3 linked regions of the Macaca mulatta genome follow. The protein of the gene in region 2 interacts with the protein of the main gene of each other region in a pairwise test. Links are inferred from orthologs where the notes say so. Each region holds a gene or a part of one and is shown on either strand. Other genes may lie near its edges. The genes, in order: NOL4, CTBP1 and CRY2.

Region 1 (3,750 bases), on a different chromosome or scaffold from region 2:
AGGAAATCAACGCTGCTGCGGCTCCCCAGCCCCACCGGCTTCCGCAGCGTGAGGCTGAGATGCACTGGGCTCTCAATGCCAGTGCCTCACGGCGCCTGGGCTAGAGCTTTGTGGCCATGAGACTAGAGCCAACCCAGAAAGAGGAACAAATACACACACCATTCGATAGCGCCTAAACCCATCTCTCTTTGTTGTTCATCTTCTAGCTGCGGCTTTATTTGTAGAAGAGGGAAGTGAGGAAGGGAATGGGGGGCGGGGAGGAGGAATTCTCAGGACCTTATCTACAATCTCAACAGTCGCGGCAGCGATCTCTGGGAGTGATCGAGGCATTCGGGCTGCCCCGTGCCTCCTGGGCGGCGATCTAACGATAAAACCTGACGGTGTCCTGGGGAAAACCCCACATCCACCGCTAGCGCCACATTCGGGCTTTATGCCAATAAGGAGACACTGTAGACTATCGATCAGACTTGTCTGTTCTCAGAGCGTGCGGCCGGGCTTCCAGCCTGGCCTTTATGCGCGGTGGCGGCGGTGGGACACGCGCCAGGCGCCCAGAGAAGGACATGGGACAATGGCCCAGCCCGGGGACGCTAGACGCCGCCCGACCCGGGGAAGGAAGCTCCAGCAGCCGGTCCGGGAGCCCGAGGTGGGGAGGCAGGCCAGCTCTGGAGGTGCGCTGCCGCTTTAAAATAAAAGGACCACAAAGACTCCACAGTGGGGAAAACGCGCCTGGCTAATGCGAGTGGGGACGACTTGGGGAGGGGGTTGAGGAAGGTAGGGGGCACACGAGCCAACGGCGGCTCACGGCTCCCCCTCTCTCCCGCCTCTCTCCTTCCTCCCTCCCCGCCGGGTTGCTCCGGCAGACAAATAACAGAGGAAGGCGAGTCACTCACCGTGGTCTTGACAGGCACGTAGAGCACTTGCTTGGCGCCGCCGCCTCCCCCGCGGACCTCGTCCGGCTGGCCCAGCTGGAAGCCCTTCGATTTGACCCAGAATTTAAATTTGGCGTTGTCCGTGGAGCTCGACTCGGAGCCATTGAGGAGCTGGACGATCCGCTCGTATTTTTTACGGGTCACCGTCTTGGTCTTGCCTGAGTCCCCGTAAGTCCTGAGGCACCAGTCCTGGAACTGGCGGTACATGTCGCGCTCGCTCTCCATGTTCCCCGCGCCCGGCCGCCGGCCGGATGCTCCCAGCGCACTTCGCACCTGTTCACCCTGGGCTCATGTAAAATGCAGCCCTGGCCACGTTGCAGGGATGCGAGGTCCCGGCCGCCGCGGGAGCCTGCTTTGGGTGGGGGAAGGGATGGGGAGAGGGGAGGAGGGTCCGGTTGGGCACCAGCAATCAATGCCCTGTGCTACCAAGTCTGGTCCATTCGTAATTGCAACGGCTGTCTCGGACGCTTTTTCTGTTCCCTTAGCGATCGGTCTCTTTAATATTGTGTGACCAGGACCATCCCAACAGCATTCTGGCCCAGAGAAGCTGGGTTTTGAATAATTGAAATCCCACTTCTTGGTTTATTAAAAATCCCAATATTGAATTGGGGTGGTCCCTAGACGCCTCGCCCCCGGGCTGCGTCCGGGGCTGGGCAGGTGGAGCGCAGCGCCGCCTCCCCGCGCGCGCCCCAGAAGCTTCCCCAGCCACTGGCCCCGTGTTCCAGGAGTGAGGGCTGCGCTTCTCCTGAAAGCAGCCGCCGGCCCAGCGCCTGCGAGCCCGAAGGGCACACGGGTCCCGGATCTCTCCTTCCTCCTGGGTCCTGCTTTGACCTTCCCCACGACGGGTGTTAAGGGACTAGAAAGAGAGAAAGTTCTTACCTGTCATGTTTTTAAACCTATCAAAATCTGTTTTACAGAATTATTTTATGAAGATATTTTAAAAAACGGTTTAAAATCTCATTTCTTCAGATGCATTTGGAATAAATTCCAGCCCTGTATGTAGATTCTACGAGTTAAGTCCCAGAAATTAGCAAAGCATTGATGGAGATTTGGCCATAGTTCTACAGGATAGATTGTAGTGCCCCAAACAGATATCCGTTCCAGGGGGATGTGGGTAACGGAAGGCAGGCCGCTGGTGGCGGGTCTCCCGGATAATGATGGGACCCCCAGACAGGACTCCTCTGGTTTCTGCTGAACAAGACATAGAAGTAAGTTTAGGATGCAGATGCTTGAAACCCTTTGCAGGAAATTAAAATATATAGAGAAAGATCATTTTCCCCTTGCTTGGTCACAGTTTGCAGTTCACACGGGAGGTTTCAGTTGCCTATTTTCCCCCTGCCACGTCATGGACACCCCCTCCACTGCTCTGAGTAGCCAAATATGAGTTCCTCTGGACTATTTTTCCAAGCAGATGAAGTCAGCAGTTGCTCCATTCAGGACTTCCATCCATTTGTTTCCAGAGCTGGAAATAGGGGAGTTCCCATCCTCCTCGCGCGGCGGCTGCGGCCGCTCCTCTTTATTCTACTCTCAGTCGAGGCCCGCGCCCGTCCCAGGGAGCGGCTCTGCCAGGAAAACGGCCCGACTAGTGCCCGGCGCCTGGGCTGCGCCCGAGCCCACCTTCTTTCCTCGTCGTCGTCTCCCAGACTGAAACCCGGAAAGGGAACGCGGGATGTTTGCGCCCACTGCGCTGTAGCTGGTCCTGGCACTTGCAAAATGGTCAGTGGCTCCTGCTCGGCCAGGATGAGTGTGTGCGTGTGTGTGAGCAAGGGAGCGAGGGTGTGCGGTGTGCAGGGGGTGCGCTGTGTGTGCGCGCGTCTCCGGGAAGGTCTCGCGGCGGCTGGAGCCGGGACTGACAGCCCGGGCGGAGCGCAGGCAGCACCACACACTAAACCTCTCGCCTCTCCCCTCACCCCCACCCCTCCCACTCCCCTCTCCTCCCCCCACCCTCCCCGGCCCCTTCCAAGCTCTCTGATTGGCCAATGGGACAAAAGTTTCTGTGGAGACGGCTGGGCGCTGACGTCACGGGCAGAATTGTCCCATTTAGGGATCCCGGGGGCAGTGCGCATGCTGCAGGCTGCAGGTTAGAGGCAGGAGGAGGTAGCAGCGGGCCCGACGGCAGCCAGGTGGCGGAAAGGAGCACGCAGCATCCAGGTGGGGGGACGACTCCAGCAGGGTTTCCATGGAGATTCCTCTGGGTCTAGCCTAAAAACAGCAGATCAGCTGACACCATTAGCTCAGGACCTAATTACTGCTTATTGGAGCAACAAATGAGGGAGAGGGCCAGCTGCAAAGGAAGAGTTTATCCCCCCACCCCATTCCCCCATCTCCTCCTTTCTCCCCCTCTCTCCATTGCTCTTGAGTCCCGGGTGAATTCTCATTAACTTGCAAGATTCCTGCAACAACAGCTCCCCTTCTCCAGAGGCCACCCCGACTGCTTTTATTCTTTTATTTCCTTCTTTTGTATTAAAAAAGTACTAAAATAAATCAGTTGTTCTCAGTCCTTGAATTTTTGTTCAATACATACTAGACCATAGAGCTCAGAGAAGACACTGTCCAATAAGTCACAAGTGAATCTAATACAAGGGACACAGGGGAAAAATATCACTTTCAATTTATTGAGGTGAACAATAATCTTTAGATATTTCACGTTAAAAAAATCTCAATATCTTAAATACATAAATAATTTGAAACACGCAATTGGACAGAAGAATATTCTGAACCACCCTTCTAGTGGGGTATACTTCACAGGAACAACTCTGTTAAGTTTCCCTTTGTGGCATTAGGGCTCGATTTAGTTAGATATTGGTCATGTGTTTCCTGG
Region 2 (3,650 bases):
CTCTCTCTCAAGACATGGCTCCACTCTAGGATCACACACACACGCGCACACACACACACACGCTTGCTGCTCTGAGCTCAACCTGGGCCTGGCTGTGTGGGGCCTGCTCACTGCTGCATGCTGGACCCAGGACGGTGCTGGGCCCAGGACAGGCGGCTGCAGAGCGAGTGGGCAAATGAAGAGCAAGGGGTCGCTGAGGGGCAAACCACTCCCCGGGCGCAGGGCCGGCTGCTGGTGACAGCGGAGGAAGCCCGCGGCTGCCCGAACCCCAGCCCCAGCAGGATCCACGCAGCCAGCCCCAGAGGCCTCAAGGGGTGAGCGCGTGCTAGACCGTGGTTGATGTGTGTGCCCACACGTATGCCCGTGTCTGTATGCCCATGTGCCCATGACTGACACCGGTGTGTGTCCACGTGGTATCGTGTATGCTGTGATATCCGTGTGATGCCCATGTGTGCCGTGTGATATCCATGTGTGCCGTGACATCTGCATGTCCCCGTGTGGCCCGTGTGTGCTGTGACATCCACATGTGATGTCTGTGTGGAGTTCACGTGTGTGACGTCCGTGTGATGTCTGCGCAGGCCTGAGGCCCATGTGTGTGCTGTGTGAGGCTGTGGGTGCTATGACGTCTGTGTTGTCTGTGTGTACCTGTGTAAGGCCCACGTGTGTGTTGTGATGTCCATGTGTGATGTCTGAGGCCCACACGTGTGCTGTGGCATGTGGGACATCAGTGCAGGCCTGTGTGAGGCCCACATGTGTGCTGTGACATCCGTGTATGATGTCTGTGTGTGCAGTGATGTCTGCGTGAGGCCCATGTGTGCTGTGGTGTTCTATGTGATATCTGTACAGGCCGTGTGTGCTATGACGTCCATGCAGGCCGGTGTGAGACCCACGTGTGTATTGTGATATCTGTGTGAGGCTATGTGCTGTGACATCCGTGTATTATGTGTGTGCCCTTGAGGTCCATGTGTGTCCTGTGACGTCCATGTGTCATGTCTGTGTGTGCCCATGCGGTCATGTGTACTGTGGCATCTGTGAGGCCACGTGTGCTGTGGCACATGTGCCATCCGTGCAGGCCTGTATGTGTGCTGTGACGTCCGTGTGTGATGTCAGTGTGTGCCGTGCTGTCTGTGTGAGGCTCACACGTGTGCTGTGGTGTTGTGATATCTGTGAAGGCCAGTGTGAGACCCATGTGTGTGCTGTGATGTCTGTGTGAGGCTGTGTGTGCTGTGACATCCGCGTGTGCTGTGACATCCGCGTGTGCTGTGACATCCGTGTGTGCCCGTGTAAGGCCCACGTGTGCTGTGACGTCCGCGTACGTAGGGCACACAGCCTGGGATTCCTGGGCCCTGGCGCCTGGGCTGCACTCAGTCCTGTCCTGGGTTGGGACCGACACCCGCAGCCCCGCCCCGCCCTGGGCCTCTCCTTCTGGGCACGGCTGAAGAGCAGCAGCGCCAGGCACAGGGAGGGTCACGGGCATGGAGCTGTGGCTGACGCACCGAGTCCGATGATGCCCAAGGTCTCCCCACGGATCCTGGCGGCGCCGGACGCCACCTCGCGGATCTGCTCGACGCTCTGGACTCGCGTGCCCTCCCGCAATGCCTGGTGCAGCCAGGTGGCCCGCCGGTACAGGTTCAGGATGTGGCACAGCGTCGAGTCGGCCGTCTCCTCCACAGACGCCGCAGGCACGTTGCAGACGGCGATGCCTGTGGGGACAAGGACACGGCGGTCACCTCCAGGCCAGGCCCAGCCTCTGGGAGGACACCAGGGCTACTGTGGCTGGAGCAGGTTTGAAGCTTCCCGAGGAAGAAGCCAAAGGCCACGTCCCCAAGGCCACCCTGGGAGGCCACGAAATGAACGCACATCTCCCAGGCTCGGGGGCAACAGAGCACCTGGCCTGGCGCCTGTGCCCTGTGGCTGGAGCCCCACCTCCACTTTAGGTTCACGTGGCAGCACACGCTCGCAAACTGCTCGGTGTGTGGTGGGGCCAGGGCGTGAGACGCTGCCCTGACCCCTCCCAACTCAGCATTGGGAGCCCAGGCAGAGACAAGCACATGTCTCCCCGCGTCACCTCGCTGCCCTGATTCCTCCAGGGGGACCCTGCGGGGAGGCTGCGGCCAGGTCAGAATCTGGGTGCTGGCCCCACCTGCACACCCCTACATGGACATCCGCACATGTCCTCAGGCCTCCCCCAGGCCAAGCCAGGCCCCCGCAGTCCCTTCCGCCCTCCATGCCCTACACCCCGCAGTCAATAACACTGCAGCTGGAGCCATTCCTAGAAAGCAAATCCATCCCATTTCTCTCGAGTGTAACCCCTACTGCCCGCTCCCAGCCTTGTCCCAGAGGCAGGCCCTTCCCCGGCCAGGGCCCCTCCCTGAGCCTATTTATCCTCATCCCTGGCCTGTCCCTGGCCAGCGCCTCCCCTGCACGGCACTTCCCGCCCCATTCAGATGATTGCACTCCTGTGACTGGCCGTCCAACTGGCCGTCCGTCTCTCTGGGGAGGAGGAAGGGGCAGGAGGCCAGGACAGGGCTGCATTCATATGCCCGGAGGCTGGACAGGACCGTGTGGTTCCGTGAGGGGTTCCGAGGGTCGGGAGGGGGCCTGACGTGGGGCAGCGCGGGCAGGCGCTGCACAAGGCCAAGGCTGGGATCCCACATCGCCCCAGACACAACTCACTTGGACGTAAAAACGTTAAACAAGGGAGACTGAGGGAGAGCCAAGCCAAGCACCACACGAGATTGGAAGAAAGGCCTCCTGACTGTGGGACGTTGGAGTGTGGGCCAGATCCCAGCGGTGCCCCAGACTGTCCCTGGCTGAAGAACAGAGCCCGGGCCTGGGAAACTCCATGGGCAACGGAGATGGTAAACAGCAGGGGTCGCTCAGAAAGCACCAGGCCTGCACCCGACACCGCACAGCCAGGACTGCACCCAACACCGCACAGCCGGGCCTGCGCCTGACACCACAGCCGGCCTTTCCCAGGATGCCGCCACAGAGACAAAGGCGGGAGGCGGCTGGCACACGGCTTTGGCCCATGGGCACCGGCGGAAGCAGCAGTGAGCCGAGATCGCGCCACTGCACTCCAGCCTGGGCAACAGAGCGAGACTCCGTCTCAAAAAAAAAAAACCAACAAAAACAACCCACAACAGACGGAGCCTGGCAGAAAACAAAGTGCGCTCCACGCAGGACGGCCAAGCACCGCCCTGAGTTTGTTCTAATGAGTGCGCATGGGTGCAGACACGTGGGTACGTTCCGTGTGCGTGTGTAGGTGCATGGGTACGGACGTGCGTGTTCTGTGAGTGTTCCATGTGCTGAGTACATGAGCATAGGTGCAGACACGTCTGCGTGTTCTGTGTGCTGTGTGCGTGTTCCGTGTGCTAAGTGCACGTGCACGGGTGCGGACGTGCGTGTCCTCTGAGTGTTCCATGTGCTGAGGGTACATGAACGGGTGCAGATGCATGTGCATGTTCTGTGTGCTGAGTGTGCACATTCCGAGTACTTAGTGCACGTGCATGGGTGCAGATGTGTGTGTTCTGCGTGCTGACCACACGTGCACGGGTGCAGATGTGTGTGCATGCTCTGTGTGTTGAGTGTACATGTTCTGTGTGCTGAGTGCACGTGCATTGTGCTGAGTGCATGTGCACGGGTGCAGA
Region 3 (3,750 bases), on a different chromosome or scaffold from region 2:
AAAACCCCACAAAAAACCAAAAACCAAAAACCAAAAACCAAAACCAAAACCAAACAAAAAACCCCAAAACCTTAATGCCCAGGCCATAACCAAGAACAATTCTAACAGAACTGGGGGAAAGGGGTTGGGCACAGTGGTTCATGCCCTGTAATCCCAGCAGCTTGGGAGACCAAGGTGGGTAGATCACCTGAGGTCAGGAGTTTGAGACTAGCCTAGCCAACATGGTGAAACCCTGTCTCTACTAAAAATACAAAAAAATTAGCCAGGTGTGGCAGTGGCCACCTGTAATCCTGGCTACTTGGGAGGCTAAGGCAAGAGAATTGCTTGAACCTGGGAGGCGGAGGTTGCAGTGAGCCCAGACTGTGCCATTGTACTCTATCCTGGGCAACAAGAACAAAACTCCATCTCAAAAAAAAAAAAAAAAAGAATTGGGGGAAAGGGGCCCAGGCATCTTTTAAAGATCCTTATGGGATTCCAATACATAGCAGCCAAGATTGAGAACCACTGCTCTAGTCTGTCCCCTTATCTTATGTTTCTCATGGCACTTCGTTTCACTAAATTATGGTTGTTTGCTGGTCTTCTTTCAATAAAATGTAGGCTCCAGGAGTTCTGGAGCACAGACACATCTGTTTATTCACTGCTGTATCCCTAGCAACATCTAGAGCACTACCTGGCAGATATTAGGCATTCATTAAGTAATCAATTAATATCTGCATTCCTACACAGCCTCTGACTTCAGGATTTGACTCAGGCATCTAAGCCACATTCCTTTTCTCCTTCACTAGATTGACAGCACAATCACAAAACGATAACCCACAAAAATCCATAAACACCTGGTTCCTAGCAAACTGGAGTTTAATCAACGGGAATTTTATTGTTGATTTTTAATCTCCCCTATCAAAAAAGAGTAGGTAGTACTAGGCAGTGTCCCCCAAAACCCAATAAAAGAAGAAACTCTGTGACAATGTAACAAGAAGGTAGTCGGATTCCATTTGGCTGGCTCTGACTGGTGCAGGGCAGTCTGAGGCTTGGCTTAATGTCCACACTAGGGATGGTCATTTGATGATGCTTGTCAAACACAACCTCCTATCTGTAGAAAACTGGAGCAGAGACAGAGCAATAAGGCAGCCTGAAAACTGTGGGCAGGCTCTCCACAGGACTCTTTAATTGTTCCTTCTATATAAACTGGGCAAGAGGGGACACTGAACAGACCTACTGCTAGGAGCACTCACTCTCTTAGCAGGGTACACACCTTGGAGAGAAAAGAATGGTGTGCCGAGAGCCACGGTATCCTGGAAATAACCCTGTCCATCAGTGCAACAAGGCCACAAGCAAACATTCCCCAGAACAATGTAAACAAACCCAGCGACTGCCACTAGGTGTTCTGAAGAGCGATGGGTACATGATGTCTCAAAACTCTTTAATTTGAATACTGCTTACAAAGAAAATACATTAACGACCTGTTCATCTTTTTCCATGATCATGTCGACTCCATCTCCTGGGGGGTCATCAGAGGGGCCCTTGATATCATGGCTTTCCTGCTCCCTAACCTTAGCACAACAGTTCATAGAAGTCTCATCTCTAATGGCTCAACTGTCCTCTAAAATCATGACAAGAGGATGACGGGGTGACACTTTGGATCCTTTTAAATTTTTTTTTATCGAGGTCAAAGCTCCAGAGCAGGGCTTAAACCATTTTGGAGAATCCCCTGGATTCTCTGGAGCTTTGAACACAACGCGATTCCACCTGAAGACACCTTTGGCTTCTTTATTTATAACATAGGGGAGAAGACTTTATTTAATGCTAAGCCAGGGTCACCTGACACCCCTAGAGGCAGGACGGTCTGGGCGCAGGGAAGCCAGGATGGGTGGTAGGGCGGATTCAAACAAGCCAGAGGCTTAGGAATGATCTCCCCGAGCCCAGCAATGGGCTCTTTACTTGAAGAATGCGAGCAAAAACCCGTCCCGCCCTCACACCACAGTATCTCCCTTCTGCCCCTCCCTGAGTAGACCATAAGAGCCCTAGACCAGGAGCCCCTGTTCCGCCACTCACTGGCTGCAAGTCCTTGGACAGGTCGACTTTGGGTCTCCAGGACCCAAGGGTCTCATCTGTACAACGGGGATCATGATCTCCGTTCCACAGGCAGTTGTGAGGCTCAGAGGGGTAACAGTGCGAACGCGCTTTGTCAGAGGCTGAGCCCTGGCCCACCGGCGCGTTAGGACCATGACGAATTACTTCCCCGGTCTCGGCTTCTCCACGGCCTCCCAGCCGTGGAGAGGTTGAGAGAATCGTGCTGTTCGCCGGTCACCCCAGGGTCAGGGTCCTGGCTGCGTCCCCGCCACCCCGCCCCGGGTCCCCTCACCTCCATCGGTTGATCCCGACTGAGGAGGAGGCCGCGAACCACGGGTCGAGAATGTAAACGCAGCGCACGCAGCGCGCCCCGCGCACGGCCGCCAGCAGCGCCGGGTTGTCGTGGAGCCGCAGCCCTTTGCGGAACCAGTGCACTGAAGAGGCGCCGTCCGTGCCGGGCGCTGGCGCCGGGGCCACAGCTGCCGCCGTCGCCACAGTCGCCGCCATGACTGTCCAGACTGCTCCGGCCACCCCCGCTCCGCCCCGGTAGGCGACGCGGACCCCGCCCACAGACCGCCCAGTGACCTATGACGCCGCAGCTCCTCCCTTCGTCCCCGCCCCCAGGGCCTTAGAGCTCCTGTGCCATTGGCTGAGTGCCTCCCGCCCGGCGATTGGCCCAGAGACGCCAGAACAGGCCCCGCCCCCTCACGTTCCTACCATGTGTGGGTCCGCCTGGGTGGAGCTGGCAGGCGGACAAGTGACGCAGGCTGGCACAGTCCGCGGAGGGCCGGGAGTGGGCCGAGTCTCGAGGTACAGCGGATCTCTTACACATGTCCTGTTCAGGGCCTGCTTCTAGAAGAAGCTGCCTGGGCTGGTAGGGGTTGCTGTGACTACAGTCAGAGACTTGCAAAACTGACAACTGACCTTCCTATTATCACCAACATCGTCACCAGCATCATCTACATCATTCTACTACAACTGCCATTTATTAAGTGCACTTTATATGGCAAGAGACATGATCATCTCCTTACATAGTCGGTCTCATTTACTATTCTGAACTCAGCCCAGTTACATTCATTTAACGAACACCAGTGGAAGAGCTGCTGTTATTTTTGTTTTACAGATGAAGAAAATGGAGGGTGCCGCAGGTTGAGCGACTTGCTCAGTATCATAAAGCTACTAAGAGGGATTTCACCCAGATTATTCTGATTTTGAAACTTCTGCTTTTATCCACGAAGCTATACTTCTCTTTGTGCGAAGATCCTTGGTAATTCCAAGTGGCAGAGTCCAAGGATGGAGAAGGAGTGCCCTGATACGCAGCATTAGAGGATTTGGGAGTAGGGACTGGGAATGTGGAGGACTTGAGCTCGTAATTATGCCATCAGATGAATTTATTTTCTTTTAGTCTGTTTAGTAGATCCAGTGGTACTATTGTGTGCAAAGCACTGTACTGGATTCCGGGTGGGGTTCAGAGATGTGGGGGACACTGTCCCCATTCTTCTGGGACGCCAGGTGGAACCCTCTTATTCCTCTGGCGTCTAGCATAGAGCTTGCTGATTGACTGACTAAATGGCAAGAGAAGCTATAAACACCAGCAACAAGGTGTTGGGGAAGGCTAAGATGGCTTAGTCAAGCTGCAGCTTTGGGGTTATCAGGTGGAGAACAGTCTGTTTCAACTTG

Evidence for each region.
Region 1: the proteins of CTBP1 (region 2) and NOL4 interact in binary tests that used the Homo sapiens proteins (3 or more experiments, as listed by UniProt). The link is inferred for Macaca mulatta from reciprocal best matches to the Homo sapiens genes CTBP1 and NOL4.
Region 3: the proteins of CTBP1 (region 2) and CRY2 interact in binary tests that used the Homo sapiens proteins (3 or more experiments, as listed by UniProt). The two-hybrid records come from large-scale screens. The link is inferred for Macaca mulatta from reciprocal best matches to the Homo sapiens genes CTBP1 and CRY2.

The regions. Positions count from the first base shown.
Region 1 is NC_133423.1:58,247,912-58,251,661, reverse strand, and holds the start of NOL4 (nucleolar protein 4), read right to left. Parts: upstream 2,428-3,750; 5' UTR 1,155-2,427; coding exon 891-1,154; intron 1-890.
Region 2 is NC_133410.1:1,299,689-1,303,338, forward strand, and holds part of CTBP1 (C-terminal-binding protein 1), read right to left. Parts: intron 1,704-3,650; coding exon 1,497-1,703; intron 1-1,496. UniProt on the Homo sapiens protein: Corepressor targeting diverse transcription regulators such as GLIS2 or BCL6. Has dehydrogenase activity. Involved in controlling the equilibrium between tubular and stacked structures in the Golgi complex.
Region 3 is NC_133419.1:19,770,787-19,774,536, forward strand, and holds the start of CRY2 (cryptochrome-2), read right to left. Parts: upstream 2,591-3,750; 5' UTR 2,578-2,590; coding exon 2,363-2,577; intron 1-2,362. UniProt on the Homo sapiens protein: Transcriptional repressor which forms a core component of the circadian clock.